Drosophila melanogaster: one gene and its partners. The gene in region 2 interacts genetically with the main gene of each other region. Each region holds a gene or a part of one and is shown on either strand. Other genes may lie near its edges.

Region 1 (9,020 bases), on a different chromosome or scaffold from region 2:
AACATTTTTGTACAGCAATTCACCGGCGACAACCATTTGCTACTGCTCGTCTTCACCACCTTGAAGTGCGCGCATTTGTCGCAATCCTCGAAAGCTGCGTTGGATCTGGCCGTCTCCTTGTACCAGGCCACCTTTGACTATGCCATCAAGACAAAGCAGGAGACACGTGTACTCAACTATGTACTGATGCAGCTCCGTTTGTTGCCCTGCAAGGAGGTATTCCATTCGGACTACGATGTCAAGAACTGTCGATTTGCTCTTCGCGAGGCTCTCAAGCAACCAACGTTTGCCAACGACAACATTAAGAATTCCTTTAAGACTTTCCTGGAGGGTGCGGAGTCGTAAAGAGAATTAGAGAAGAGATTACCTTTATTTCCCACTTTCCGATTTGTGTAGCTTTCGCGAATAAAAACGTATTATTCCTAACCCGTAGTGGTGTTTTTTTTTTACCCAAAAAACCAATCGAAATTTAATGTATTAGCCATTCGGCAAAAGTGATTTATTTACATGAAGAAAACTCGTATGAGACTACAAACTATCTTTATGGAACATGTTAATACATCGATATTACGTTTGTAAATTCCTCTTGGTGGCTTTCTTGCTGCTCTGGAACAGAATCAGCTACAGTGAACGAATGTAGCGAAGTGTTTATCTATAGTTAATAAAAACACGAATTATAAAACATTGACGTTAACATCGAGGAGAACATTGAAAGATTATAAAATAACGAACGATCGTGGCGAGCAAGTCCGCAAAAAAAAGTGCCTCCTCGAGATTCTCGATGCGGATAATGCTGATTCTAAGAGTCCATCTTCTATCAATATCCTGTGTGGAAATGTGTTCCTTAACAATTAAAATCAGAATCATCATCATCATCTTCATCAATCTCGATATCATCATCATCGCTTTCAATTACAGCTCGCCTCTTCTTGGGCGGAGCTTTCTTTTTGGCTCCTCCACTGCTCTCATCCTCTCGTCCACGCTTAGCTGGACGCTTGGGCGAATCATCATCGCTGGCATTGCCATCATCATCAGAGCCAACGTTGCCACCGTCTTCCTCCTCATCCGAGAAGAGCGAGCTGTAGTCTATCTTCTTACTGGCCTGTCGACGTCCAGGACGCTCTGCACGAGGAGTTACTTCCTCCACGTCATCGTCGCTCTTTTTCGCCTAAAGATGAAAAATATTAATTGACAATTAAATACAGATTTGGGTTTAAAAACAAATATGGGCAATTACTGAAACACTTACCTTGGCCTTGCTGAAGTCAATCTTGCTCTGCTTGAGCCCGCCGCCGTTCTCCTTCTTTTGGCGCGGCTTTTTTTCTCCCGGCTCCTTCTTGACAACCGCCTTCTTGGCCTTGGGTGAGGTCTTAGAGCCGCCCTCGACCATTGCATCAAATTCGTCCACCTCATCGCCGCTGGCATCAGGTTCGGCTTTAATCTGCTTGCCCTTCGGTTCCTTCTTCACTTTTGGCTCCTTGGGCTCTTTGGGTTTCTTCGGCTCCTTAGCCGCCTGAGCTACCTTGGCAGCCGCTGCCATTTTCTTAATGATTTCTTCGGTGATCTTAAACTCGACGGGTTCTCCATCGGGATCTGGGAATACGTCTCCGGCACCCGCTCCGCCTCCCATTGACTTAACCTTTCTGCCCTTAGCTGAGGCCGACTTCTGGCCCTTCAAAGCCTTCGCGGTCTTGAGATTGATCCCCTGCTCTTCTGCGCGCTCCTTCTCCTCTACTTCATTTAACTTCGATTCGAGGGCATCCAAATCATCCAGCCAAAGCATCTCCGGCGTCTTCTTGCGCAGACTTTCCAACTCGGACAGTTTAGTGTCGCGCTGTTTGAGTAGCTCGTTTTTCTTCTCCTCTGTCAACATCCACATGGACATACCCAGAAGGTAGTCAAACTTTTTGACATCAGTTAGTTTCTTAAAGGCCTTTTCCGGATCGACTTCCTTTTCCTTCTTAGCCTTTGAGCTGACACTGGGAGCTGCCTCCTCTTCTTCTTCGTCCTCTTCGTCAGCTTGCTCGGCATCCTCCATTTTAATGCGGCGCTGCCACTCCTTGACGGGATCGGGACGATATCCACGCTTCAACAACTCATCACACATGGCCTTGCGCTGCTTGTTCTCCACCACCAGCTTCTTCTCACACTTTTCGAGAATAAAGCGCGCCTGATCACTGAGGCGATCAGCCTGCGCCGTGAGCTGGCCGACCAAAAAGTCCCTCCGGCGGGCGTAGTACTCTCGTCGCAGTTTGTAATACTCTTTAAGGATATCGATCGCGGTGGGGAAGCGTCGCAGACAGTTGTTCTGGTCGAACGCATGCATCTGGTTGGTGGACAGCGTCGTGGTAAGTTTGAACACTCGGTAGAAACCACCTTCTTCTGCATGAATGCGCTCAAATTCTCCAGGTGCGAAACTGATCACAAAGCGAACGGTGGTGTCTGTATGATACTCCCTGTACTCGGAAATAATACCCTTAACCTTTTCGGTGCCGTTTGATAAAGGCTCCAGGACATTTTCCTTGTAGTTTTGCGTCCATACGCCCACAGGGAGTTCACTGATTTCTAAACGGTTTCCGGACAAAATTTGAATGTTACCAGTCTGAATATAACGACCATCCGAAACATACTCCATGCGTCCTAAAAAGTTCTTGTACCACGGATGCATCACACTTGGCTCTTGTCCGTTTATCATCTTCCTTAGATTTTTCATAATCTCACGAGGATTGTAGTTGGATATCTTCGTGGACCATCCAGTTCCTATGCCCTCGGCTCCGTTTACCAATACCATCGGTATGATGGGCAGATACCATAGTGGCTCGATCTTTTGGCCATCGTCCACCTGGTAATCCAAAAGTGGATCGTCCAAAGGATGGTAGATGAGTCGCGTCAAGGGAGACATTATAGTGAAAATGTAACGAGCGCTGGCGCAATCTTTGCCTCCCGACAAGCGGGTACCAAATTGACCGCGTGGCTCAAGCAGATTAATGTTGTTGGCACCCACAAAATTCTGAGCCAGATTCACGATTGTCATCTGTAGGGATACCTCTCCGTGGTGATAGGCTGACATCTCCGCCACTGATCCGGATAGCTGGGCCACCTTCACCTCACGCTTGTCATTCCTCTTGAAGCAAGTGAACATCACCTTCCGCTGACCCGGCTTCAAGCCATCCACCAGACTAGGAATGGAGCGCTCATTGTCAGCATTCGAGAACAGCACCAACTCCAGATTGATAAAGTCTGCATAGGTGATGCTCTTGGTGCCCTTGGTGTAGAGATATCGCTCTGGCAAACCGAGCTCCTTGCGACGCTTCACCTCGTCCATGTGGTTGGTAAGCCATACCTTTCGCGACTCGATGTGCTTCTTGGAGAAGGCCATAACAATGCTCTCATCATCCACCGATCCATCGTACTTAAATAAGATGCGATGGCGATCCATGTCTTGAAAATACTCTTTCGCCTCCTTGGAGGTCGAAGTACCCAAACCCTTATAGTACTTTATATTGTACGTATGGTGATTAGCTGTATCATTTTTCCACTCCTCGAATTCGGGTAGCGAGTAGAATGACAGCTCCTCGTTTTTCTTGGTTGCCTTCACAATTGGTGTAATGAACTCCTCGAGGAAGGGCAGACGCAGAAGCTCTGGCCAATTGGTGTGGATAAAGTTGATCAAGAGACCCTTGATGTGGGAGCCATCCTGATCCTGATCTGTCATGATCATCACTTTGCCATAGCGCAGAGTTTTTAGATCGTCCTCAGTGAGGTACTTCTTTTTGTATTGCAAGCCAATTATCTTGCATAAATTGTTGATTTCGGCATTCTCCGAAAGCTGCTTGAAATTAGCTTCCCGCACATTTAGAAGTTTACCCCTAAGCGGGAACACGCCGTAGAGATCTCGTCCGATCACGCCCAAACCGGATACGGCCAATGACTTGGCTGAGTCTCCCTCGGTGAGGATGAGGGTGCATTTAATCGAGTTCTTTCCACCCGCCTCGTTAGCGTCCTCCAGCTTGGGAATGCCCTTGATCTTGCTTGACTTGCGACCGCCCGTCTTGGCAATGTCATTTTGGGCCTTGAACTTGGCCCATGCCAGCACAGACTCCACGATGCCAGACTTGGACATGTTGTTGATGAACTTTTCCGAGAGGGTACACTTGGAACCGAAGCCCTTTTGTTGCAGAGTCATGTTCTCCTTGGTCTGCGAGTCGAAAGTGGGGTTCTCTATCAAGCAGTTGACAAAAACCCACAGATGGTTTCGGACCTGGAATGGCTTGATGTTGATGCCACCTGGAAGAGGTTCAAAGCAAATATTAGTTGTTGTTTAAGAAAATACACATTTTAAGTTAAACGTACCTTTGTTCTTTTTCTTCAGAACCTCGAGCAGCTGCTTAATGAGATTGTCTACCACATGGTCCACATGCCGACCGCCCTTGTAGGTAGCTATCGAGTTGACAAACGAGACCTGTTGGAAGCCTCGATCTGAAGGACAGCAAGCCACCTCCCAACGCTCGTTGGCAACCTCGTGGACTATCTTGATCGGTGGGCCAGAATCGTCGTCCGTGTTCTTGATGTGCAAATCAATATAGTCCTTGAAGTTGCGTACACCCAGTTTGTTGCCGTTTAAGAAGACGGATACTCCCTTGGATGAGGCGGCCACATCGTAGGCGCGACGCGACATTAGAGCCACAATATCTTCATCGAGACGGTCCATCTTGAACTTGGCCAGATCGGGACTGAATGTGATGCGTGTGTAGTCAGTGCCATTGAAGTCCTTGATCTGTGGGTTTACTGAACATTAGATGATGGTCTAAAATAAGAAATGTTATTTCCTTACCTGCACATCGGAGGCTTTTCCCATGTTGTTTCCCCAAGTCTGCTTGAAACTTTTCTTGTATTCCCTCGTGGCAGTCTCAACGGTGAAGCTGGTGGAGAATATGTTGCAGAGCTTCGCTCCGTATCCGTTCCTGCCGCCAGTGACCTTCTTCTCATCGTCGTTGTAGTTCGACGAGGTCAGCAGATGACCAAAGATCATCGTTGGAACGTACATCTTCTGCTCCTTGTGCATGGTCACCGGAATGCCCTGGCCGTTGTTCCACACGGACACCATATTGCGCTCCGGATCGATGTCGATCTTAATGGTGTTCATGCTCTTGTCTCGCTGCTTGTTATCTGCCGCATTCACAAGAATCTCGTCGAATATCTTGTAGAGGCCGGGCACGAAAGAGATCTCCTTCTGCACCATGCGGTTTTGGGAGTTGTCATACACCCACATCAGCTCCTTGGTGAACTCCACGGATCCGATGTACGAGTCGGGTCGCAGCAGGATGTGCTCCAGCTGCGACTTCTTCTGGTACATCTGTTCGATGGACAGGGCCTTGTTTCCGTTCTCCATGATGCTTCTGTCGCTGTGCTTTAGCTGAATCTTCAAAGAGTAAGCAAAAGGCATTTGTTAATGTAATATTAATATTAATAACTAATATTCCGAGCCATTGCCTTAGCTACTATTAATCACTCGTCCTGCGTTCTACTAAGTAAAAAAAAAACCAAAGCTACTAGCAGAAGACTACAGTACCCACCCAGTTAACAGTTGCTATTAGTATATTAGTAATATTATGTTCACGTTTTTTTTTTAATTGTTATAATACCAAATAAGATAGATGGCACCCAATATGTTTAATGGCCTCTTAATAACGGGGATGGTTGTGCGTTGGCATGTGATGCCAATGCTGCTGATGCTGCTGTTCAACAATTTTTTATTAATGAATGCGCACTGTACCCACGGTGAAAAAAAAAAACAAAACGCGCGCCCGCGCATTGCGTAAATGCCGTCCAGACAAACGCTGCAATGGAATGGGACTTGGCCAACATGGGAAATGGTTGGGTACGTCAAACAGAAATAACTGCAGATAAATTGAAAAACGTCAAACTAAGTATTATTTTGCCTGGTGCTACTGTACTGGGAACAGATTTTCAGCACACTTTGAAATACATAACAGCCCTGTCTCTTTGGCGGCAACGCTTGGCGTGCGCCGTCTGTTGCGTGAGTGTGCGTGTTTATTGGCGTTTGCCGGTAGTCACCGCTATTTATTATTTCTTATTAAGGTTCTTCGAGGGGTTTCACTTTATAGTAAACAAATTCAGGCCTACATACGCGCTCCGCGCTACAAAATCAAAAAACTATGGTTTTTAAAGGCCCAAAATTAGCTAAATGTCTATACCGGTATCGCCATTTTTAATTTGCAAGCGACGCCACCGAAAAATTGCTATATCCATCATATTAAAGGATTAATTAGACAGGGCTCTTAGGTTCTACGGTACAGCCAATTCTACGATTATGATTCAGCACTTTCTGCTTACCTGGTTAAAAAATTGCCAAGTATTTGTGGCCTTTTCTTGCTGCCGCCGACAACCGAAGTGCGGCAAAACTCTATGTTGCAGGCGATACACGAGGCGGTGCACTACAATTTTCGACTTGTACGTGCCCCACGCGTCTGCTGCCTTTAGCTAAAACTTGTACAGTTCTCAACTAACTATTAAAATACGCACAGCACATTTAACAACTTTTCACAACCGACAACAAATGAGAAGTATTGCTGGTTTTAGAGCTGGCAAGGCGCACAAATCGATGTTTGAATGAAATCGCTATCGATAAGTCCCATAACAGTGTTGTTTGGGTTGGTGCATACGCTCATTGTGAACAGGGCTAAACTAGTAACTGCGGTCGGTGACTCCGCTAAAAGCGTGATCGCCAAAATCACGGTTTTTTAGTTCTATCTCAATCACGTGATGAGTTAAGCAACAGTTAATTCTAAAAAATTCGAAGGTAATAAATAATAATAACATTTTTGGGGTTAAATTCTTTTTCGAGTCGAAAGTAGGGGTTTTAATTATTCCAACTAACATTTCTTCTATTTTTTACATTATAAATCGGCATTGAAATAAATGTAAAAAAGATAAAATATTTCGATCTAAATGCAAATTATCAAAAATTTAAGACAAAGTAAAACCATTAAGAAATTTATCCTTTCATATGCTTAGTATTGTATCCCACATCAATGTGATATACAGCAATTACTTAAAATGAAATGAAATGAAAAATTGCTGCTAAAGTTGCATTTGTGCAATTAAATTTCGCACCGTTGAAGTGAAGATTGCTTTTCAATTAACCACCTGGTAATATGAATATTCCAAAGCCAAGACCATGGCTACAAGAGAACTGGTTTTCTTTCTGCCATTTTGCCTGACCTTGCCCAACACGACGTCATAAAGGGGCATGTCCCTCCCCATCCCGTTGCGATTTTCATTCCGGCTCAGAAACATGTTTTGAATAGTGCAAACAAAATATAAAGATTCTGGATTCATCCGAGTTACTCGGAATTTCTGCTTGGGTAATGGAGAACCCTTCACGCAGTGACGTCACCGGAGCTCATTGAACTTGCACAGCATCGAATATCGTCCAGAAATATTCTCTACTCCTCCAAATCTGTTGATTCTCGTTTGACAAGCATCAGCAAAGATCTCTCAATATGCGGAGTGCAGTTTGTACCCTGCCAAATTGGGAATTTCAGCTGATGCATGGGAAAATTGTGAACTAGCGGAGTTAAGTGCAGTTTATTCCAGGATACTATTAGCAAGTTGAACAAGATGTGAGCTAAAACTCCTAAGATTTGGTAAGATAAAAAGATAAACATAAGTACTACAATTAGCAATTAGTTTCTTTTTTTTTTTTTTGAATAAATTGTATGTATATGTATTGTTAATCAACAAATTTTACTTAATTGCGTTTTTAAGGGTGTTTGCATCGTCGTTTCATCGAGCTGGCTCTCCCTATTTTCAGATGCTGGTTTCTCGTTCTCGCATACTGGTTTATAGTCATAAGTGCTGCGCTTTTTCTCGACTTTTTCCATTGAGACTTGTGTTCATAAAATCTTCTGTTCTAAGCGATCCCCAGCTCAGTTTCATTCCAAGCTTCTGCGATGCCACTTGTGTGCGATCTTCGTTAAGTCGGATTCCCCGTACTGCAAGCTGGAAAAAATAGAAACCGTGACCAGAAACAGTAACCGCCACTCGGATTGGATTATTACCTGGTAATGAAAGTGAAGACCCCGAGCTAATGGGGCGATTTAAACAGGTGTTTAAAGGTGCAGGTGGGGCTGTGAAATAATCGCTTATTATCAAACACCCTAATGGGGGGCACTATTATTGTGATTATCTTGGGATTATCAAATCCATGTAGACAATTAACGACAACAATGGCGAGTTCATTAACACTTGAACCGAACTACGAGTATGTATGTGCTGGGACTTAAGCACTGCAATCAGGCGTACTTAAAAGTGCATAATGTGTAATTAGTTGGAATTTGTTGAATATGATTAAATATTGACCCAGGCACTTTGCACGGCCACCACGTGTGAAATTTGTGTGTGCTGCACTTTGAGATCGCGGTGGCATCATCTCACAGTATCTGCCAAATACGCGTCGAACTCACACAACGCTGCACCGCACAGACCCCAAGCGACCCGATTAGCCATTGGCGAACTGGGAACGCGGCGGATAATGCCTTATCAGGCAGTGGCTCCTCTACAATCGCGGGGTTCACTGGGGGCAAGTTTGGGTCTGGCTCTGCGTTTTGGGGTGTAGGGATAGGAATTGGGAAATCCGGCCAAGGCCAGGTCGAGGTACACCTAACAAGAGCACATATTTTGGGGCTGATGCTGAACACTATGCAATTCCAAGATTAAGCTAGCAATGTAACAATCGGTACTAACCCCCAATTAGTATATATTTATATTATATATATATATATTATTATATTATATTAATATATTTTAAATGATTTTAAAAATTTTAATGATTTCATTTTGCATACATTGTTTTGAAAGTGTACCTACCTAATGTATTGATTGCTGGAAACAACCAACCCAAAGGCAATGTTTCTAAAAACTAAGTGCAGCCAAAACTGAGTAATTGCACAACACTTTACTTATACTATATTGTTTATAATTCTTGTGGATTCCCG
Region 2 (8,359 bases):
CGAGACTGGGAATATCAACAGTCGCCTGGTAGTGTAAATAAATAATTGCCGATGCACCGAAAAAAAAGCTCTAAATTTTGCCTTATGTGTATGTATGTATGCTGCAATTTCAAACTCATATTTTAAAGTTTGATTCTTCAAACTAATATGCACCCAAAAACAATTTTTATTGGAATTGTTAATTGTTAATTATGATTTTTAAAAAAGTGCTTACTAATTTGATACTTTCGAAAGTATAATAAATATTCTTTCCACGTTATAAATGACATATATCAAATGTCATAATATATTAAATTTATACTTTATAAAATATTTTCTTTAGTACATTTACATTTGTAGCATAAACAAGAGAGAACGCTATAGTCGAGATATACAATTTGCATGTATCTATAATGTAGAAGGAATCATAATGTTGTAATACCCATCGGATTTCTGCGCAATAGATTTGTATCATTAAAACTATTAATTATTATTAAATACATTATCACTTTCCCTGATTACACAACAAGGTGAAACTAAAAGGCGAAAATTAAAATACACTAACTAATATTGCGTATAAATTTACTAAGCTCTGTTTCAAGAACATTTCCGATATGTAAAAATTATATGCTTCGTCTACCGTTGTGCGTAAAAAAGGAAGCATTCTTTTACCATGCGTATTTTTTGTTTTATTTTTGCTGTGACCAAGAGTATGCAACACATAATATATACTGGCCAATAGAAGTCCCTCGCAAAAAAGTAGGCAATACAAGTAAGGAAATTAGGAAAATTGTAAAAAAAACACGATGACTGATGTGTGGTTTAATCAACTGTAGGTAGAGCTCTGACAACCCCAACAGAAGAAAGTAGGGATAGTAGCAGGTGGATCTAGCTTGCAGAAAACTAAAGTGATTGCTGGCAACCTTTTCTGATTTTAGTTGTGTTTGTGTATGTTCTCAAGTCCTATGATCCAGAAGATGCGAAACCCATCCATATGACAGATCTTGTGCATAGCTTTATCAACCTACTTTCTTGCCTGGTAGTAGTACTCCAGAAAATGTACAGTTGTTGATATATTTAGAATTTATGCATACTTACATTTTTTCCGCTTTTTCCGCTCAAGAAAATTGCGTAAACTCTTAACCTTCAAAAAAAAGTTGATTTATTGTTATTTTTTGCTTAACATAACTAGATAAAGTATTGATTTGCCACTTGCTCATACGTCATGTGGTTTTTTTAACCGCTGTTGCCCTATGTTGTTGTCTTTAAATATTCTTTACATCAATCGAGTGTGTGAGAATATACCCAAGTACCGTGTGTAGGATTATGTTAACCTTGATGCTGATGATGCCACCACCCAGATTGGCGGGCATTCACATAAGTTTTTAACCCACCATCCTGGCCACCCGGTTGGGCGGGTTGATGGGTGGGAAATAGATGGGGACCACTTGTCTCGTAATTTATGCCGTTGTGCTGGTTGAAAATATAGGCCTTTGGCACCTCCACTCCTGCAGGACCCACAGAATTTGTAGAGACACTAATACTGGAGACTACATTGCCTGAATTGGCGGGCAAATAAGTGCGACTTGGAGGAGGCGGCGAGGAAGCCCAGCTGGTCTGAGGTTTCTGTGGCAAGACAGGACGATATTGTTTCGTATATAACGGTGGACCCATTGGCAAAACGGCTTGTTTTGGTATTGAAACGGTATTTGGCGGCCCATAGGCGTTATTCCTCAAATCACACACAGTATTCTCAATTAAAGTGGCCAAGGGAGCCGTGTAAATTCGGAAATTAGTATCTGAATAATCCAAGTCAGACAGCAAGAAAACGGGCATCCTATCGGATAGAACCCAAACGTTTTTGTTCTCATCAATTTTCACATCGGCCGGAAAAACTAAGCCAACGTCATCGCGATCCACAATGCCATGAAATTGCGGTGAGTACGGCATTGATGAGTGCCAGCAACCCACTGCATTTTGATCTATTAAATTGAACAGCTCAATTCCATCATCGCTCATCACACGTGAAGTGGTATGGGAGTTTGGACCCCGTTCATCTAAGGCAACAAAGTCATGATAGCTATCTTCCGTCCTGGTTTCATCCCTCAAAATCCTCGTGGATACGGCAAATTGTCGATGACTTGCTAACGGACTAAAGTACAGGGTACGATAACCATCCGATCGAATGGGCGAAAGGGACATACCAAATATACCCTCCTCGCCCCATTGGAAGTTAATACCAGCGACATTGAAATCGCCCCTCAATGGATCGGGGAAAAAATACGAATGTGCCGAGAATCTCCAGGACTTGTTCAGTTCCCAGGAGTAAGCAATCAAGCCGTATCCCAATTCATCGGCAAAATAGGCATATGCATCATCGCAATTTTTGCCTATATCCACGGCAATGTTAGCTATGAAAGTATTTGGATTTGTGTCCACGCCAGGTAGCTCGTATCTCCGAATTCGCGTATCCGTGGTCAAGTCAAAGACATTTACCGCATAGGGGCACGGATTAGTGGTGGTATTGCCGATGCCCACGGTTCCAGTGTCCAAAACCCACAGCCGACCACACTCATCCACTTTAATGCGGTAGGCAGTGGTAATACTGTTGGCGCAATCTCCAGCTGTATTTGAGCGCCAATCTGGATACGGAATTAGCTCCGGTGAACCCGTCAAACTGCGGTCCATGTTTATATAGGTCAGAGTGGCCGGAATCCCTAAAAAATAAAATAGGAGAATTAGCAGGGCCAAACTATTATTGAGGCACTAAATAAAGTTTGTTTTGAATATTTAATTAACTGGAATTTCTGCCTAAATTCCTTCTTTGGATTATTATACTAAGCAATGTTGCAAGTTATCGCTGTCTGTTTTCTGGATAATATGTAAATGCATACAGATGTAAAGGTAAATTAGAATCGCTTATGTTTGGCATTTAATTATTTATATACCTATTTGTCATTATTTTGGACACAAGGAATCATAAGCAATGGTAACTGCCGTGCTAATGGCTCTTTTTTCTGCTTGTACATCTACTGGAAGTTTATGTTAAAAGATCCCCGGCTATATGTACTTCAGTCATAATTGGCACTATTGCAAGTTGCGTGCAATTTGCGATGTCATTAGCCGTCTGAAGCAATTGCGTCTGACATCATTATCAATATGTATACCATATATCGCTGTTAAATGTATATGTGGCCATTGGCAGTATTTCGACCGATTTCCGCTCCAGTTCTTTTCCTTCTTTATTTCTTCGTTAATTGAATTTAAAGACATTTATTGTTTCTGGGAACTTTTAATGTTTTTATAGCAGGCGAGTGAGACTGCAACGACCAGAAAATATAGCTTTTATCGATTTACCGACCCATCTTCTTAAAAATCAAACCAGGCGTTTTTGCTTTACAAAGTAACCGGGGGTTGCGATAAATATACATTTGAGCATAATGCACCTTTCAATCTTTATTTAATTCATAACTTTTAAAATAACAATCTAATTCAGTCAAATATAAAGTATTTGAACAAATTTATATTTTGACATGTGCTCTTTCAGTCCTAAAACCTCGCAACTGACAGATTTATCTGCTTCATGATTTTCAACATTTTCATTGTAAACAATTTTTTCGACTGTCTTGAGGTTCTCCTTTTCCAAAGAAATATGTCTCAACATTTTTTTCATTCAGATATTTTTTCTAATCTTATTTGTAATTAAGATGAACTTTTAGCTTGGAATGGGCCGCAAATATCGTTGATGTAGTAGTTTATGCGTTCACTCGTTGACAAAAGCTAAGTTGATCAACTATCGAGTAGCTCAATTGACTGGGGTATATTATTCAATGGCTGGTGGCCTAATGAATCTGTATGAAATACGTGAGCTGAGTCGATATCGGAAAATGTTGGCAATTCTGTGTTTTAGTTTCAGAATCGGATACAACTTCCCGATCGGAATCCGATTTTGATTTTGATATTTCACACTTGATTTTAAACAGTAATCTTGTCCCGTAGCTAGTTGTCGCGATAACCATGGGCTTTTTTAAATCAAAATTTATTTACTCAAATCTTCATAGAATAGTTTTTCCAATTGAGCCCAGCATTGGTGGTCAATGATAATATTTATAATTAATCATACCCCATAACTGTCACTTATAGGTATTCTGTAGCCTGTTGTTGCCACTACCGATTTGCTTTGACTAATTGATTTGCTTCGATGGCCATTGAAGCATGCCTTTAAATGTTCCACTTTGCCACAACTTTCACTATGTTTTGTTTGCCGTAACTTGGGGTTTATTTTTTGCCGATTCGGCCTTCTGGGCTATTATTTCATTGACTGGAGGTAGTCAGTCGATATCTTTTTAAAAAGAGACCTCAAGGCTGGGCCAGAATATTTTGATATACTTAATAATACAATACCATTACATTATAAGTGACATTAAGATATCCTTGAAGAGCGTGTTTTTTTAAGTTTAGTCAGAAGTTTGGGTGTTTCGGACTGCTTAAGAACATATGTACAAAATTTATTAACATCGCCGTGTTTTTCTGTGTAAATACCAATTGTAAGCCATGCATAAAAACTAATCAATCATCGAAAGCATTCCTAGACGTACTGAAGTATTTGTATGCGCATCATATAATCTTAGCAATTGGGTTTTTTAGTTTCATTGCTTTTTAAAATTTCCTAGTTTTGTGTTTCAACTATTTCATAAAAATTTTGATTATTGTGTAAGCCAAATAATTTTGAAGCAAAATCATTTGTGTGATTAATAATAAAACGTGAGTCACAGAACAATGCCTTCGCATTTAAACATTTCGCCACTCTTACATTTGTTGAACTGACAGCTAATCGTCGGTTAATAGCTAATGCCATAAGTTATTGTTTGTGATTGGATTTCCATTTCTATGTGGCGGCCCTGAAGAAGTCTTTACAATTCGGATGGTAATATAATACAATTTAATACAGTATAAAGCCAATGCCATGCTATTGGCTTCGATTTTACAACGGTTAATTGTTTAAAATGTTAAAATAACGCGCAGGTACCAACCGGATTTATGAGAGGTCGCCACGCTAAAACCTTTACATGAGGGTGCTCTCAAAATATATTGTCATATTTATTCCTCTGCCAAAATGGTGAAAAGGCATACAAATAAAAAAATACATTTTTCGTCTGTACTAGTTTAAAATTAAATTGTACAAAACAATATTATTTTCTAAGAAGGGTAGAAAGACAAAAAAATGTTCTCCAAATTCTAAAATAAATAACAAGCTCTTATTTGAATACCTAAACTAAATGAATTTTGTGTTTTTACATCATGTCAAACAAGCCATATAAAACTGTCAACCACTCAATCAGATATCTCTGATGCCCTAAGTAAGAATGTCCCATTTACGATCTCCCCAAGGGCTTCATATTTAACTTCCACTTACCATCACGCCAGCGGGGAACAGTGACGAATAACCGATTGCCAAAGTGTTCGACTCCAACAGGTAGAGCATTTTGCGGAATATAATCTCCACTAGCCAGAGCTTGGTCCTTTAGTCGGGTATTCGGGAAAGCAAAGTCCAGCTGGCTCCAACTATATCGCTCCTGAAGTTTGTAAGCAGCCCAAGACGGCGTCACCAAGGTGATCAGGGTCACAAGGATCCACCCTTTGTCCTGGAACAGTGCACTTAGCTCTAAGCTGACAATCACTCTTAACACTTAAGCCAAAGTGTGTTGGCAATAAAAAAAAATATATTTGTTTATATATGTTCAGCTATAGGGGGTTCTTCTCTAGCCTTCGGCTGTGTGATATTTTTTTAATCCTCTTCTGTGGACCGTGGCGCGGTAACGACTGGTGGCCATAATATGTCGGCCGCGTTTTATATGAAGTTTTTTTTCTCCGAAGACGAAGACAGGCCAATGAAAATGAAAACGAAGGCGCGCGCCAACTTCGGTGGTTTTAGTGATTCGGGTGGTTCAGTGTTCGGGTAATCAGGTGGCTTATGCTGTTCCCATAGATCGGCCAACTTTGCGTTTTGTCTTCCATGATTGATTTTCACGCATGTTTAATAAATACACTCGAATCCCCCAATTTAATGAGTCAGACATCACCTTTCGCTGGGTTTGGTATGATTTTTGGCCTTCATCGACATTTAAAACTGCGCTGATTTGTGCCGAAATACCTTTCGGTACCCTAAAAGATTAAGACCTATTTTAAAGTTGTGACTACTATTTATTTAATTTTAGGGACTTTATTTGACGATCTAATTTCAAACAAGTAAATTGTAAGGCCAGGAGGCTCGTGCATAGAATGCATTGCTCTCCAAATTTCTGAAAATCTGAAAGCTTAATACATGACAGTTGTGTTCTGAGAACAGTGTTCATCTTTATCGGCGACTGCAAAAAATGTTCTAATATGATTTTTTAGTTCAATTCATTAAAAAAATCAAATCAATATTATATGAAATACATGCAGACAAAAATCCAGAAATATCAAATAAATCGTTATTATAACGTGTACTATGTAGAGTATTTAAAGCAGGTGTTTCCTTGTATACTATTAAATTGGAACTCGTGCTCGTTTCAATTGCTTAGGATTGGATTTCGATTGGGCGTCACCGATGATTCACAATTCACTGAGGGTCAAATATTTGGTTTCCGCTAGTTATTGGCAGGTGATTTTGAGCATACATATACATAAATATAATTGAGTGTTACATAAAATTTCAAAAGGGACGAAAGCGCTTTTAGGTAATTCCACTAGCTGTTATTTAAAATATTGTGGTCCCTGAAAATCAACTGGATGTTGGGGGTGCCCTAAGTGGGTAATGCTCTAATGACCATCGCCGCAAGTAAATGTTAAAAATTCGAACCGAAAGCGATCGCATATATCTCTTGGCCCAAATGCACCTGCTTGCTAAAGAAAAAATTGCAAAACTTAAGTAAAGTAATACAACCAGCCACACGCATAATAAACATGCAAATGGGTAAAAATACGTTTTACGACCTCCGCAGATAAAGTGGTTTGCATTAATCCTCAATAATCTACACTTTAAATAAGGAAAACCTCTCAAAATATTAAAATACAAATTAAAGAATGCCGTTTAAATTTAATCTTATTTCTTCGGATGTCTAAAAACAATTTCAAAGCTAATGTAACCATTACTGCTATTGAATTTGTGTAGTTTTTGGACTCTATATCATTTATGCAATGCTATTTTTTCTTAGAAGTGGTTCAACTTGATCCCTTGCCCGCATTCTAAATCATTGCACCCACAGAAAAATAAACAAACACGGTGTGGCAATCGAAAAATATGTTGCACAAAATTACCGGCAATGCTGCTCGAATTTATTGCGATCGGCAGGCTTATTAAAAGACACACTTGAAATAACCAGTACAGTTTTATTAATTAATTGTGTGTGTTGTGTAATGAAATGGTGTATTTACTAAAAACGCAACTAATGATGCGATCGCTGCAGCCGTTGAACCTATAATTTTTTTCGAATTGACTTGTTTTCAAGTTTTTGCTTAATTGTGTGGGGGGATGCTGCGTTTGTCTGTTTGGTTACTGTTTTTCTTTTTCGCTTTTCAGAGCTTGCGGCAATGATTTATACGCACTTTTCCCAATAATTGAAACAAGTTTTCTGCCCCAGCACAAAACAAAACAACATCAAGCGGAGCGCGCTAAGTGGTCAAAAAAAGCTTCCACAAATCAGATCTCTTTGGCATAATTGACTAACGCTTATGCAACCGACCGGCAACATTCGACATTATTTACACACAGGATCACTTCAACTTGGGCGGAAAGCAAAGCCGAATACCGCATGACATTGCCCGACCCGTGTTTCATGTTTTATTTTCCTTATTCCCCACTTATGGCAGCCTGGACATTATCTCCCTCCCTCCCCTCCCCCCTCCTACACTAATTTGGAAATCCATCGTGACTGCAAAACGAAAAACCCGTTGCTCAACTTCTCTAACATAAGCGGTACACAGCATTTTCCGTTTTGTGTTATATATTTTTGTGTTTTTTTTTTTTTCAAGTTCAATGTCCATGGCCCTGACCGCCGGGTCCCCTCCTTTCGAGCTGGGATTATTTGGCATGGCCAAATTCGGAAGGCCGCGATCACTTCCCGCTTACACACAATTGCACATGTCCCCATGACATGCACTGCGCTCAAACTATTAGTACCCCTTAGTAACTTAAGCCAAATTAAAAATAAGTTCATTAATATAAATAAAATAGTCAATTTCCACTGTCCCGATTGAATAGAGAAACTTTATTTGTAAATTTTAAATGTCGCCAAGGAACTCGCTAGATATACTAAACCAAAACCGATTGTAGCTCCCGAAATCGCAACCATAAGTGGAATAATTAGATGCCAACAAAGGCTTTGTTTGCTTACTG
Region 3 (5,953 bases), 280 kb from region 2:
TATAGAGCAATTTGAGTGGACGTACAACTGCGCTAACGTTAAAAACCAAAATCACAGACGAGGTGGAAAGTACACGTGCTGGCGAAATGTGCTTTTAACATTCGGCACCATGGACTCGTCATTACTGCCTCGCTTTTTAGACACTTCGTTGGTGACAATCGTCAGGATATCGGCGATGTGTTCACTAAAGTAACAAAGAACAACTTATGCATTAATTCGGGGCTAGCTTGCTTTGGCAGCTTTTTACCTGGCGGAACGGCGATCGATGGCATCGCACAGGCTCCCGATAAACCAGCTACCTGTTTGGGTGTGGCGCAGAGCAGCATATCCATTTACCGTGGACATGGCCCGCAGCATGTCGATGTGCTGGTCCGGCGACACGGTGGTCACGTCTATCCTAAACTGAAAGAGGAATACGAAAATGTATAGGCTTTCCCATTCGACGACTTCATGCTTATAAATCTCCTTACGAGCTCATTTGGCTTCTTTTTATGGACAAGCTTCTCCTGGCAGGCTTGTATGATTAGCAACTTCGGTTTGTAGTACAGGGTGTCGTAGCTGCAGAGCAAGTCCTCGATATCCGTGATCTTCATGGCGATGCTGTTGGATGCGTAGACGGCCTCCTCGAAGCCGTGGCTCAGGATGAAGACCACTAGGGAATCGCGCACGAGCGATCTATCGCACGCACTGCGAATGCGCTCTATGATGCCCATGTGATCCACGTTGTCGTACGCCTCCACATTGTATCCCATCGAGGAAAACACCTCGATTAGTCGTTCTTTATCCACATCCGTGCCATCCCGTCTACGCAGTGGGTCGGGCGACAGAAATTTCTGTGGAGAAGGGCAATGTTGTACTTCTTTTTGTTACTCAATATTGCAGAGATGAAACCATATTATCCCTGCTAACATTCCGGTGAAACTTCTGCTGGTTGATAATCAAGGCGATTCCTGCGTTCTCCCGGGTCAACTTAAGAGCATCTATTTGTGTGGAACAGTACGACTGCTGGTTATCCGATTCAATCTCTTGCTTGACTGCCATCGCAGCAGTGCCAGCCGCATCTGGCTCCGGAGCGTTACTAATGATGGTGTCTTTGAGCAAATTTGCTTGCGCCTGCAGACCGTTGGACTTCAAATGGCCGACCAGCAGCTGAACATCGCTGCCTGCGGCATTTATGTCCCCTAACTTTATGCTCCTTCTGGTCAGCCAGTCCAGCAAAAAGATCTCCAGGTACGCGGGATCGTAGAAGCGAAGTGGATCTCCTGCCTGCTGGCTCTCCACCTTTTCGCGAACATCTAGGAGCAAGCGGCCACTCTGCACCAACGACAACTCCTCACACATCCTGTAGAGGCTCTTCAACAGAGGATGGACATGCAGCGTGATCCCAGCGATATGCGGCAAGTAGTGCATTCGCAGCTCCTGCCAGCAGAAACCCAGTCTCCGGAGCACCTTGCGGGCCCCAATAATGCACAGGGCCTCCACGAGATGTCTTCTCCAGGTTTCTGGCCGGGACTTGGCGAACTTTATGAGTAGATCACTTTGCGGGAAGTCTGATCGTGTCATGGCCAAAAGTTTCTGCAGAATGTAGGTGGCATCCGAGTGGTCGTCGCCATAAAGCAGAAAGCAGAGGCCCACCTAGAAGAAAACGAAGGTTCTACTGTTTAATTAACACTTTGGTCTAGCGGATGTGTAAAACATTTGAGTCATATTCGAAAAGTCCTCCCAGGGAGGTGCCATACCTTTTGGGCAAAGTTCATGTCACGTTCCACGTAGATCAGATCGTTCTGATCGATGGTGTCTAGATGAATCAACAGGTTTGATCCGGCCATGGCGATCGGGAATATACAAAAATGTTTCACTTTAGGAAATGGCCGATAAATTGCACTCGCTGACATCCGATAGCCGTGGCCTGAAGAGCTTCCACCGATCGATATCGATAAATGGATATGTTTTCTGCAATAGCGAAAGATCGGGGTGCTACCTATTAATTATACTTAAGAAACAGATGATGTAGTTTTTTGATATAGAAGTTTAACAACCGGTTCAACAATCGGTTAATATTTAAAAATGTCGCAGCCAGCGAGCCTTTAGCTTTAAAAGTAAGCTTGCGTTCACGGTTTTTGGGGAAATACCAAATATACTAGGTAAAAACATCGATTAACTAATATCATCCAACACGACGATATGTTCTTTGCGAAAAATATCGATGTACTGGTATTTTTATGTTTCCACACCTCTAGTTCGTTTAAGTCGATCTGTTGAACTGTTAACAACACAACTCCTGAATATTATGTTTTGGACGAAAAGTTTTATTAATTTAATGTTTTTGTATATTGTATTCTGTCCATGAGCGTAACAGAGACAGACAGAGAGAAAGGGACAGATACTGAGATACGGGGCCCTCAGGCAGAGAAAGAGGGCGAAAGCAAGCTACAAGCGGGTGCGAGCGAGAGCGCGCGCTTGCCTCACGCACATATATATAAATCTGTACATACATATAGTATCAGAAGAAAAAACTAAAGCCGCTATTCGATTTACGAAAACTGGCGAAAAATTCGACGATTTGTCTCGTACCTATCTATGTACCTCACAACCACTTCGTCATCAAATACGTATAAGTCAGATGTATGTCAAACATATATATACATATGCATGTATATACACATCTATGTGAGGCCACTGCTATATCCCATACATGTATGCCTCTATATATATGTATATATTTATCCACCTACTGTACCACTTCCACATTATGTAAGCAGCGACGCAAACAAAACACTAAAGCAGAAAATCCGAAAAGCAAAATGCGAAATGCAAAACAACGAACCAACAAAATCCCATCTATAAACCGAAAACCGAACAGCAATGTTATAACAAATACCGAAAAGTTGTTAATGTTCCACAAAAAAGCATAAAGCAGTCACGCTAAGAGAGTAAGATCGAACAAATGAAATGTTTGTATGGCATAAGTAGTTCCCAGATTTTTGTATGTACTTCAATGCATATGCATGTGTGCGTATGCATGTATGTATGTATGTTTCTCGGGGCCATGTCTCCCCACGCCCACGTACGTGGGTGCTAGAAAGGGACAGATGGTGCAAATTTTTTAAATTGCATACACTTGATTTTGGAACGCCAGCCAAACAAAAAGATAAATTGCGTGCTTTTCTTTTGCTGTTCGTATGTACGTACATATGCAAGTGGAAACTGCGCAGCAGGGAAGCCACACGCATGAACGCCTTCCATTTACAGAGCATTCAAACAAATCGTACCGAAAACCAAACAAAAACTTTCACCTCAAGTGTAACAATTATATTCAAATTCGCTTTGAAGTCGCTGTAAAATATATGTATGTATGTATAAACAAAGACAAAAACATTTTGCCTCGCAGTCGACACACACACGCGCACTCGCACTGCACGCCTCGGCTGTGTGTGTGTATGCCCTGCTTAGATCATGAGTGTGCGAGCGAGTCGACATGCTTGGCAATCGCGAGTCAGAACTAAACACGCGCTCTATATGCACGTGTGTGAGACGCATTGGATTTTGTTATTTTCATCAATCGCAATGATTCCGTCCATCAGCTACATCCAAATATATACACGCATCCGCGCCATATGTACAATGCTACGAGCATTTACATACACATGTACATATGCGCGTGTGGCTCATAACGGTTCACTCCGCTTACGCACAATAATAAAGGCAAACGCCTACGACTTCCCCATTGTTCCTAGGCTCAATGGAAAGCCACTCCGTTGCTTTCGACTTTCGCTTTTCGGATTCTGGAATTTGTTTCGCTGTCCAAAACTACGTATAACTGAATCTTTATGTTAAGCCAATTGTAAAAAGTGTATTTTCCTTTCTCGTTCTCTCCACACAACAAATGTGCTAGCGCAACTTTGTTGATCACTTTTATTTTATACTGGAAGCATGTCCAGGACCCATACCCTTTAATTCATCAAACTGATTTGCTTATTATTTTGTTGCTGCACTTTGGAACTAGCTAAGTGCCAGGCTAAACCTAAGCGATCCGATCCCACTTAAACCAACCAACAAAGAGCAATCCAACCATTGTCAGCGAAAAGTGCTCAAACTTTCCGAGTGCTGAGATAAGGAAGGGTGCCCAAAACATTCATCGCAGCCATGCTGCCCACGCTACAAAGTGACTCTGACTGAATGCATCAGGATCGTATGATCCGGGTGGTCTATCTTAAGTCAATAGTTTCTGTCGCTAGTACTTGGACGTGCCTTCTGAATCCGTAGTCATTTGTGATACCAGCCATTTTATATTGTATTTACCTCAAAAACATTAATGTAGCATTTATTCAAGCAACGCTTGATTTTAGTGTTAACCAATTCCTTTCATTTGTGTTCAAAATTTTGACCGCCAATGGGGTGATTCAAATAATCCCCGAATGATTTTGGAAAAAAAGAATAAGGGGCATTAAACTACATTTATTAATTCGTTTTTATTCACTTAGAAGCGTATTATGGTACATTCCACCTTTTTAGTTAATACTAGCAGTTGCTTTATTTTAAGATACCATTTTATATTGTAATTGGACGTTAAGACAAATTATAAGACGTCCTTATATATGATTAGATTGGGAATTTGACCTTAAAACATATTTATGCATCCATATATGGTATTCAAAATCCGATCCCTTATCAACAGCTTTTCCAAATACCAAACACTTAAGAGTGCAGCAACAGAAGAGGGAGGCCACTTTTTTTAAGGGCACCAATTATTCCAATCTCATCCTGTGAGAGATTAGCTGCCAAATCGATAATGTCTGTCGCTTTAGCGGATGAACCCTTAATTGACTTGGAGGAGGATTTAGAGGACGGCGAGATCGACGACGATGAGGAGGACGAGCAGCAATCTTCAAAAATCCAAGTCCAAAAGAAGACTTTCGTAGGGGACGACGATGTGCAGTTTGTGGGTGTCGAGGCTAAGAACCAAAATGACGACGAAGATGTCGTTTACGTGGGACCATCGACAGATGCCGTTTGCCTCCAAAACAGCAACAGCACCAAGTCAAAAAAGCCTCGCCCATTAGAAGGTGAAAGCTCATTCAGTTGTTTCATTGATTCTTCTTGTTTAATCTGGATGTATTCCCTAGATGACCATGCTAGCAGCATTGAGTTGGCGATTGCCAATGCCCTCAAGAAGAAGGGCATAGAGCCCCCAATGCCCCGCATGCGTTCGTCTAACCAGGATACGAGCGATCAGTCTTTGGAGGGATCCGGGGAGGGACTGGCTACCGCCAATCCCCTTCTTCAGTCAACTCGCAGCAGCAGGCGAAGGAAACGCAAGAAAGAACGTGAGCGCGAGCAGAAGAAAGACAAGGAGCAGCAGGTGAGGCCATCACATTATGTCCAAATGCAACTATTAGATACCCATTAGCTGACAAATGCAGTATACCCTTCTGCTCCAGGAGCAAGATTTATATAGTTGTAGCTAGCCTTCGATTGGCACTTATGAAATGATTTTTACCATATTTACCTTTTTAAATAGAACATTGATCTTGGGTGTTACATGGAAGCGGTTAACCCAGCCAGCGTGACCAAGTTCCACGACCAATTGTTTTGTGTTCCGACCCAACTCCGCGCTTCTCCTGCACTTAATTTATCATTAGCCATCGGGATTAGTATTGCATGGCTCGTTCAGCTTGTTTCAACACATTGGGTCAGTGTACAAGGCAGGGCCAAGTATAGGGATCTTAGGCCAAGTATAGGGAATAGGAGCAGAAAATTAAATCTGATATGACATTACAGTACAGTATTCTTTATATCAGTACCGCGAACGCAGCAAATATCCATGTGGAATGTAACACGTCTGCTGTTCTTATAGGGGATACCGAGACTTTGCTGGGGTTCCTCGCCAGGATGTCCATCCCGTGAATTCTAGAATTATATTTTGTGGTTTAAGTATGTACGCCGCTTTGTT
Region 4 (9,125 bases), on a different chromosome or scaffold from region 2:
CCTGGCCGTTCTGTATTCGCAGGGCTTGCACTCCAGGGTGCACCTGCACTCCTTCTTGTAGGCGAGGTATTCGTCCTCGGTCTCCCCAGACTCCCCAGATAGCTCCACCATCTGTTCCTGCTCCTGGGGCAGATACTGTATGTATTCATTAGCCTCCAGCTGGCTTTGCACGACCTCGATGTTCGCCTGGCTTTTTGCTTGCATCTCGAATTGAGATTTTCGAGTGGTGCTGTAGTCACACGGCGTGCACGTGGTCAGGATGTCTTCCGTGTATCGTGTTTTCTCCGCATCCGCGGGCGCTGGCTCCTCTACTCTTTTTATGCGTTTTACCGCCGGTTCCGCCCTCTCGGCCTCGTCCATCAGCTTCTCGCACTCCTCCTGCTCCTTCATTATGTGGCGCCTCGACTCCTTGTGCCGGTCGAAGCAATACCGTTTGGCGGTCTTGTAGCCGCAGACGTTGCACGAGAACAGTGACGATTCCACCTCAGACTCGGAGTCAGAGCAGGACTCCAGCAGCATGTGCTTTTGCGACCGCCTGTGGCGCCTCAAGTCTCTTCTCCGGTCCGTGGAGTAAGTGCAGCCGTTTATGTTGCAAGTCAGTCGCTTTATCTTCACCGCCTTGACTTGCTCCTCCTTTCTGGGCGCTTGTTTTAGGTGCAAGTCTGTAAAAAGCGAAATCAATCGTAGTTCAGCCGGCATTTAGGTATTCATTGGTACTCACATTCCATTTCGTCCTCGTAGATGAAATCTAGAGCCTCTATCGTCAGTGTTTCCGTTCTCTGGCATGTCTGCGACATATTTCCCTCGTTTGGTCTGCGTTCTTTTAATAATAACTAAACAAATCAACAATTATTTGATGGTACCAACATTATTTAGCTTGAAAATGTAGAATGCACGCGAGAATTTACGAATTTGGGAATTTAGTATTTTTCAGGCGGCATGTTGGATCTTATTTCCGTGCACCTTAGGAATTATGTTTATTTCATTTTAAAAGTACCCATCAGTGTTTTCGTATGAGTGAAAAGTTAGTAATTTTTAATTTTAATTTTAAATTAGTAACAAGACGACTTGTTAAATTCGGGACAAGAGTCACCCTGTGATGAACCACTTGTTACATGCAGATGCAGCCGGTGACCTCCTCTGGTCACACTGTCCATTTTTAATTTTTTGTAATAGTAGAGTTTTTTTTATAACATTTTATCCGTCTTTTATGCAATATATTTAATTATTATTAGTAAGAGGCAATCCCACACAAACATGCAATCAGTACTCACCCGCTCGTTATGCATTGGTAAGACAAACTGATGTGTGGACTTTGAGCCCCAGCCATTTAAATGTTTTCTATAAGCAAGATCCTAAACCAGATATTGATATTCAGCCCGCAGATCTTTAAATGCTCGTCAAATTGCCTCATTGTCGGCGCTTTCGGAGACGCACCAGATGCTGCAGAAGTCCTGCCGGGACTTTGCCAACAATGAGCTCAGTGGAAACGCAGCCAAGTTCGATCGGGAGCACCTGTATCCAGAGAAACAGATCCGCCAGATGGGCGAACTGGGCGTGATGGCAGTAGCGATTCCCGAGGAGCTGGGTAATTAATATTACGCCCACCTCAGCCCTCCTTATAGTATCTCATTGTATCTCTTTATTGTTAATCAGGCGGCACTGGACTGGATTATGTGGCCTACGCCATTGCCATGGAGGAAATCTCAAGGGGCTGTGCCTCTGCTGGCGTCATCATGTCGGTGAACAACTCCCTGTATCTGGGACCGCTTCTCTCTTTCGGAAACGATGCCCAGAAGAAGGACTACATCACACCGTTTACCACCGGCGAACGAGTGGGCTGCTTCGCGCTCTCTGAACCTGGAAACGGATCCGATGCTGGAGCTGCTTCCACCATAGCAACCGACAAGGGAGATCACTTCGTGCTGAATGGCACCAAGGCCTGGATCACAAATGCCTTCGAGGCGGAGGCAGCCATTGTGTTCGCCACCACCAACAAGCAGCTGAAGCACAAGGGCATCTCCGCATTCATTGTGCCCAAGGCTACCAAGGGCTTCTCGCTGGGCAAAAAGGAGGATAAGCTGGGCATCCGGGGATCTTCGACGTGCCAGCTAATTTTCGAGGACTGCGTGGTGCCCAAGGAGAACATGCTGGGCGAGCCGGGTTTCGGTTTCAAGATTGCCATGCAGACGCTGGACGCCGGCCGCATAGGAATCGCTGGCCAGGCGCTGGGCATTGGTCAGGCTGCCCTCGAATTGGCCGTGGACTACGCCCAGAAGCGACAGGCCTTCGGCAAGCCCATTGCCAAGCTCCAGTCCATCCAGCAAAAGATCGCGGACATGTCGTTGGCCATGGAGTCGGCACGTCTGCTCACCTGGCGCGCCGCCTGGCTGAAGGACCAAAAGCAGCCCTACACCAAAGAAGCTGCAATGGCCAAGCTGGCTGCCTCGGAGGCGGCCACCTTGTGCTCCCACCAGTGTATCCAGATCCTGGGCGGAATGGGCTACGTGACCGACATGGCGGCCGAGCGTCATTACAGGGACGCCCGCATCACTGAGATCTACGAGGGCACCTCCGAAATCCAGCGACTGGTGATCGCGGGCTCCATTCTAAAGGAATATGCTAGTTAAGATCAAAGTTATATATCCGTACTACTTGTGTCTCGTTTAATAAAGAACGTTTTTAATATACTATTTTGCTAGTTCTATTGAGTTGTATAATTGTTTATAATAGATAGAAATACATGAAAAAAACACCTACAACATTTTAATTCTTTAGAAAAAGTTAGCAAAACAATAAATCTTCGTTCAAAAAGTAAAGTAAAATAAGTGAAACTCTTGACTACTTTTTAGACGTTGCATATTTGTAAATTAATTAAAATAATGAACCTTAAGTGCTTTTAAAATATATTTATAAACAAAGCTTATTATTTTATATGCCTAATTATATTATATCTTTTAAACCAAATTTTAAATGACTCAAAAAAATGGGAACTTGGCGCCAAAACTGCAGCAAGGCTTTGTCGGTTAGCATATTTGTGTGGTATTTTTGTGACTTCATTCGGTATATTGCTGGTAGCTGTGCAGCGGTCACACAGCAAAAGCAAAAAGTTTCTTTATTTATTTGATAATTATTCGTTACGCGGTAATTAACGCGATGCAAGTGCAGCAGGAACGTGGTAATGAGAGTTTTTGCCACTGAGCTGCGCGTGTCGGCCGTCCAGAAAGTGCAGAAATCGCGTGAAGTGCGCGAAATCCGTCCAAGAGCAGAAAAGTGCCAAGAATAGCTGCGATGGAAACAGCGATGGATGTGGTGTGTGTAATGGATACGGCGGTGGGCGACCATCTGGAGGACCGCCAGTGTGCGCTGGAGGAGATCAAGCAGGCAGTGCAGTCGGCGGGCGCCAACTTTCAGCGGGTTCAGGTGCGCCAGCTTGGTTATACAATGGCATATGGGTGATTTGACTTACATCCCCCCCACTTGGCATCCTTGCAGTTCGAGCGCCTGGACTTCGGCGAGACGAATGTGCTGGAGACGTTTTACAACGCCGATGTGGCCATTATCGACCTGAGCATTCTCACCCAGCAGCGGCCGCTTTCCTATCACTACGGCGTTAGGGAGAGCTTCGGGATGAAGGAGAACATCCTCACCTACAACGACATCGATTCCAAGCAGACGCTCAGTCTCAAGGTGCGTTCGGAAGTGTTTACCTGGCCGGGCGTGCCTGGCAAACATCTGCGTTCGTGATCGGGAATCCGCTTCCGATAAGATAAATGCTATGACCAGCAACTGCGTGGACTCCTGGACTAGTTGTTCTTGCTGATCTTTCTACAGTCGAGCTTCCACAACGCGAACTGAGTTTATAACAAGTCTCTAACCTAGGTGCTTAGACACCTCTTTCTGGAAAATGACTAAAAATTATTCTATCTACTAGTCTTCCTTTAGCAAATTGCAAAAGAAACCGAAAAACTTCCTCTTTCCAGAGGTTAATAACTAAAACCTCTTTCCCATATGGCAGCCAATAATTTGAACTATGGAAGTTCGACTGTATTTCCGTCGAATCGTTTTCGTTATTTTTGTTTTGGCTGCGGCCATAAAGCAACAAAAGCATTGGCCCAGCAATAACAATAACAAATGCGAGCACGCCCACGCAAACACTCAAAGAGGCACGCACACACTAACAGCACGGTGTACACCAACGCAGCGTGGCCTGCATTCACAGTGGCGGTCATTAAATTAGGTACACTCTACTCCCCTTGCAGCTCTCGTGTGCCAACTACCTGTTTCTCAGCTACAAGCGGAATGCGGAGACCAATTCCTGCCACCTGACCAGCCAGCCCAACAGCGGCAACAACAGCAAGGAACCCAATGCCGAAGGACGAGTGCCCACTTTGCAGTGGCGCCTCAAGCGAAAGCTGCAAGATGTTGAGATCCAGTCGAAGTGAGTACAATCTAGGGAGTCCCCTTTTGCAGTAAGTCATGCACGGTGATTGCATATCGGAACACTATTTATAACATCCCCTGCGGCAGATTGGCTGCAAAAGTCACGCCCTGCATCTAAAATGAATCAGACCGATTTATTGTGTTGGCCTTGGAATTGCATATAAAATATCAATAATCGCTGAAAATTCTTAAGTCTCTTTATAGTATCATAATTGTCCTTTCAATTTAAATTACTTCGAACTTTAGTGATACTACTACGGGTTAACAAGTAATGAAATGAAAGTAATTGAAATCTTAAATTTGGTGTACCAGATAGATGCTAAGTTAATTAGTCTTTCAGCCAGAGCACGAAACACTGTTCCTATTATGCATTATTTGTGTACCTAAAAACTAAACGAAGCTATTTTCGGTTATTTACAGAGCCCACATGCGTGAGAAATTTCTGAGTGACATGCGAACGGCGCGGGACACGTACGCCACCAACGGCGCCAAGCTGCAGAGTATATTGCACGAGATGCGAAAGCGGCTGGACGATCCGCATGTCCTGTCTGGCGAAGTGGTACACAGTTTCATGTGCTCGCTGAGGGATGTGCAGGACTACGATGCCATGGTGCGACTGGTCAATGACCTGAAGAACATACCCAACACCCGGAAGTACGTGGAGACGGGCAACATGAGTTTCCTGTACGCCTTCGCCCTGAACCGAAGAAATCGAAAGGGAGACCGTGAAAAGGCTCTGGAATCTTCGCTGAAGGCGCTGGAAAAGAAGGAGAACCACTTTCCGGACATGCTCTGCCTGTGCGGCCGCATCTACAAGGACATCTTTGTGGAATCCGACTACACGGACGCCACCAGTTTGGCGCACGCCATCAAGTGGTACCGCCAAAGCTTTGAGGTGCAGCCGAATGAGTATGCAGGCATCAATCTGGCTACTCTGCTGGTTATCGAGGGCAAGGAGTTTACCAATACGGAGGAGTTGCAGCACATCGGCATGACCTTAAACAATTTAATCGGTAAAAAGGGCAGCCTATCCTCGCTGAGTGAGTATTGGGATGTGGCCACCTTCTTTGAGATCTCCGTTTTGGCCAACGACTACGCCAAGGCGATTCAAGCTGCCGAGTGCATGTTCAAGCTAAAGCCACCCAACTGGTATCTGAAGTCGACCATCGGAAATATCTCTCTTATACATCGATTTCGAAAGAAGCCCGAGGAACGCCAGCCGCCCATCGAGGAGCAGGTGTTCCAGTTCTGGATGGACTTCTTTCTGGAGGCCACCAACACCGAGGAGGTTAAGAACAGCATTCGCTTTCCGATTCTGGTTGGTACCCCTGATCTGCAGTTTAAGCTTTATTATTAACTCAAAACAAATTCCAGATCCTCGAGCCTCAGAAGATTTATATGCCCAGTTATGTGACTATAAACATGGATGCGGATGAGAAGTCCATTCAGATTGTGAACATCTGTTTGGCTCACGCAAAGAATGCGTGTAAGAAAATCCACGACTTCCTTTTCGTGGCATCGAAGATCAAGTCCGTCAGCCTTTACAAGAGGGATGATCGTTGTGCCTACTTGTACGTCCATCACAACTCAGATGATTTTCAAATATATTTTCCCTCCACTGAACGACGACAAAAGTTCTACGATATGATCCTGGAGATGACTGCAGATCAGGTGGTGTTTGTCAATCTCAGCAATGATGACGCTAATATCGAGGTAAGTTATTTATTATTCATATATACATATATTCCGGCCACTTTTGCTAATTATTATTAATTGTAGTACGAGTACGACTACGATGAGCAGAATCGCAAAATGGTGCTGGGCAAAGGTACTTATGGCACCGTGTACGCCGCCAGGGACAAGCAGACGCAGGTGCGAATCGCCATTAAGGAGGTGCCGGAAAAGAACTCGCAGGATGTGCAGCCACTGCACGAGGAGATTAAGTTACACTCTCAGCTGCGACATCGCAACATAGTTCGCTATTTGGGATCGTGCTCGGAGAACGGCTTCTTCAAGATCTTCATGGAGCAGGTGCCGGGAGGATCGCTTTCCGACCTCTTAGAGACCAAATGGGGTCCGCTCAAGGACAACGAGTCCACCATGGCCTTCTACTCCAAGCAGATCCTCGAGGGGCTGAAGTACCTTCACGAGCAGGACATTGTTCATCGCGATATAAAGGGTGACAACGTGCTGGTTAACACGTATAGCGGCGTGGTTAAGATCTCCGATTTCGGCACCTCCAAGCGGCTGGCCCGCATCAACCCGATGACGGAGACCTTTACGGGCACCTTGCAGTACATGGCGCCGGAGGTGATTGACCAGGGAGTACGCGGCTATGGCCCGGCGGCTGACATCTGGTCCTTTGGATGCACAAACGTTGAGATGGCTACGGGCAAACCACCGTTTATCGAGCTGGGTAGCGCCCATGCGGCCATGTTCAAGGTGGGCTTTTACAAGAAGCATCCGAACATACCCGAGGAGCTGTCCGCCAACGCAAAGAACTTTATTTTGCGTTGCTTTGCCATCAGCGTGATGGACCGACCCTCCGCCTCGCAACTTCTGGAAGATCCCTTCCTACAAGAGTGAGTTTGCTTAATTGTTTTGCCTAATTCCTTTCTAATTGCACTTTTAATTTTCTCAATAAGTAAACCCCGCAAGGTGCGCCCAGCCCTGCCCATCAATACTGAGTTCGGACGCAGCATTTCGGTGCCGGCTGATCGGTTTGTGCACAAAACCACACCGCCGCTGAGCTACAACACAACCTGCAATACGCCCACAACGCCGGAATTGGAGTAAGTTAAACGCTGCGACTATTCTTATCATGTTCGACCTTCCTCAATTACAAGCAGAGGTTATCTTATCTGTTGAAAATTATCATTTATATTTTGCTAATTTTAATGAATATAAAAATTTTTCCGTGCTTCTCTATATTTTCCCATATCGTCTACTATTATAAGAGTAACAAGTGCCTTTGCTTATCGTGTAGTTAACACATTGATTGTTGCTATCAGTAAAGTGCATATTTAATGATTGGAAAATGCGCACTCGGATTTTGATACTGAGAAGAGATAGCACTTGATGTATTGTAAAATAAACGTAATTTTATATTGTACTTTCTGTTTCCTATTTCAGCATAACGCATTCATCCTCGGTGGACATTGACGAGCTGCCCAGCAACCAGTTTATGCTTGAACGGCGAAATTCCCATGGATTTTTGCTCTCGCCAGAGATTGAACCTTCCACGCCGTCCTTGCGTACGAGCATTAGTGAGACGAGCGAGACTGACGGTTTTTACAGGCTTAAAAAGGATTCGCAGAGGCGGACAACGCTTTCCAAGGTGCTGGCACTAGACGAATCCAAGATCTGCGATATTTGGCTGAAGAAGGTCGACGCTGATCAGAACTCGATTGCGATTAGGAAAAGCGATTTGGAGGTTCTAATCCGAGGACTGCGGGACTACATTATGAACGAAAACGAAAAGCATTTGGAAGCGACTATCAACGAACTGAAACAAAAGCTGAACAACGACGCAGTTGCTCTGGACCATCTTCATTTGGCGCTGTACTCCTTTCAGGACGCCGTGGTCTGCGTACTGCGGTACCATTGCATCAAACCCCATTGGATGTTCGCATTGGATAATCTGGTTAAGCGGGCCGTCCAGGCGGCGGTCACTATTTTCTCTCCTGAACTGGGCGCCAATCTGGCGGACAAAGACCTGTCTGGAAATGATGATGAGAGCTTGCGTACAAGTCTAATGCAGAAGGGTTCCACCGAGAGCCAGGAAAAGCAGAGCCTGGAAAAAGTTCTTCCCACGAGCAACACTCGCGAAGGTGTGGGATTAACGCCTGCGGAATCGGGCGGGGATGCTCTGTCCAGTTCGATGGAGTGCGCGCGCATCCTGAGAGACATCCGTGACAATCAGCAGAAGCTGCAACGCCAGCTCCTTGAGCAGCAGCGGCAGAGCATGAGGGCCCTGCATAATATCAGTCAGGAGCTGGCTCACATTTACATGGGCGGCAGAAAGAGATTAAGGTTGGTAAACCAAGTAGGACATTGTAAATTTTATTATAATTCACAATTTCATCTTAACAGACGCACAATAAACGGCTTTAACAAAAAGTGCCATAGAATGAGTACCAGTGTGGGCGGAACGTCCGGAGTCCGTCCGAATATAGCGGGCAATCCCCGGAGGCAGCTAAACAAGCATCACTTTGGTCTTCACGAAGTAGACGAGCAGTTGGAGCAGTGGTTGACCCAGCAGGAAATAGACGAGTTCTCAAAGACGCTCATCCTGAATGAAGGTTTTACATTTGACGACTTTATCTATAACATGGAAAAGCTGGACCTCATGAGGCTGGGTCTGCGGTGCGTTAAAGCTTATAAGAAAAGTACACTTAATCCATGCTCAACTAACTTTTGGTATTTTGCAGCGTTGGCATCGAAGTGCGTTTGTGGAAACTCATTATACAAGAACGTGTGTGCACCTCGTCCGATTGTGTGGACAGTCCACCAAGCACTTACCACAAACCCATTGGAGGCAATAGCTCTTTTGCGCTTATTGACAACAACAATACGCTACCATCACCCACAACCACAACTCCCGGAACGCCGGGCATCAAAACGAAAATCAAGAAAAGCGAAAGCGAGTACGATTCGTGCAGCGAGTGACTGGAGTTGAAAGC

The links.
Region 1: of y (region 2) and Top2, changing one suppresses a phenotype caused by changing the other (phenotypic suppression), as found in Drosophila melanogaster (one study listed by BioGRID).
Region 3: of y (region 2) and su(sable), changing one suppresses a phenotype caused by changing the other (phenotypic suppression), as found in Drosophila melanogaster (one study listed by BioGRID).
Region 4: of y (region 2) and Ask1, changing one suppresses a phenotype caused by changing the other (phenotypic suppression), as found in Drosophila melanogaster (one study listed by BioGRID).

What each region holds. Positions count from the first base shown.
Region 1 is NT_033779.5:19,446,894-19,455,913, forward strand, and holds Top2 (topoisomerase 2), read right to left. Parts: upstream 6,598-9,020; 5' UTR 6,358-6,597; intron 5,901-6,357; 5' UTR 5,646-5,900; intron 5,423-5,645; 5' UTR 5,393-5,422; coding exon 4,835-5,392; intron 4,778-4,834; coding exon 4,354-4,777; intron 4,288-4,353; coding exon 1,250-4,287; intron 1,169-1,249; coding exon 845-1,168; 3' UTR 472-844; downstream 1-471. Other genes in the region: RanGAP (Ran GTPase activating protein), read left to right, coding at 16-345. UniProt on the Drosophila melanogaster protein: Control of topological states of DNA by transient breakage and subsequent rejoining of DNA strands. Topoisomerase II makes double-strand breaks. Essential during mitosis and meiosis for proper segregation of daughter chromosomes.
Region 2 is NC_004354.4:353,954-362,312, reverse strand, and holds y (yellow), read right to left. Parts: upstream 5,805-8,359; 5' UTR 5,634-5,804; coding exon 5,396-5,633; intron 2,697-5,395; coding exon 1,309-2,696; 3' UTR 1,068-1,308; downstream 1-1,067. UniProt on the Drosophila melanogaster protein: Controls the pigmentation pattern of the adult cuticle and larval mouth parts.
Region 3 is NC_004354.4:633,655-639,607, forward strand, and holds the start of su(sable) (suppressor of sable), read left to right. Parts: upstream 1-2,235; 5' UTR 2,236-2,625; intron 2,626-2,787; exon of another isoform or gene 2,788-2,933; intron 2,934-4,678; 5' UTR 4,679-4,792; coding exon 4,793-5,066; intron 5,067-5,126; coding exon 5,127-5,362; intron 5,363-5,953. Other genes in the region: Dredd (death related ced-3/Nedd2-like caspase), read right to left, coding at 52-184, 248-402, 471-833, 892-1,635, 1,740-1,829. UniProt on the Drosophila melanogaster protein: RNA-binding protein that suppresses transcription of some RNAs. Together with Wdr82, part of a transcription termination checkpoint that promotes transcription termination of RNAs and their subsequent degradation by the nuclear exosome.
Region 4 is NT_033777.3:19,876,621-19,885,745, forward strand, and holds the start of Ask1 (apoptotic signal-regulating kinase 1), read left to right. Parts: upstream 1-3,098; 5' UTR 3,099-3,303; coding exon 3,304-3,423; intron 3,424-3,495; coding exon 3,496-3,690; exon of another isoform or gene 3,691-4,262; coding exon 4,263-4,441; intron 4,442-4,863; coding exon 4,864-5,761; intron 5,762-5,817; coding exon 5,818-6,156; intron 6,157-6,222; coding exon 6,223-7,025; intron 7,026-7,088; coding exon 7,089-7,235; intron 7,236-7,575; coding exon 7,576-8,475; intron 8,476-8,535; coding exon 8,536-8,808; intron 8,809-8,873; coding exon 8,874-9,111; 3' UTR 9,112-9,125. Other genes in the region: CG17186 (uncharacterized protein), read right to left, coding at 1-662, 722-797; Arc42 (Activator-recruited cofactor subunit 42), read left to right, coding at 1,258-1,291, 1,379-1,588, 1,657-2,630.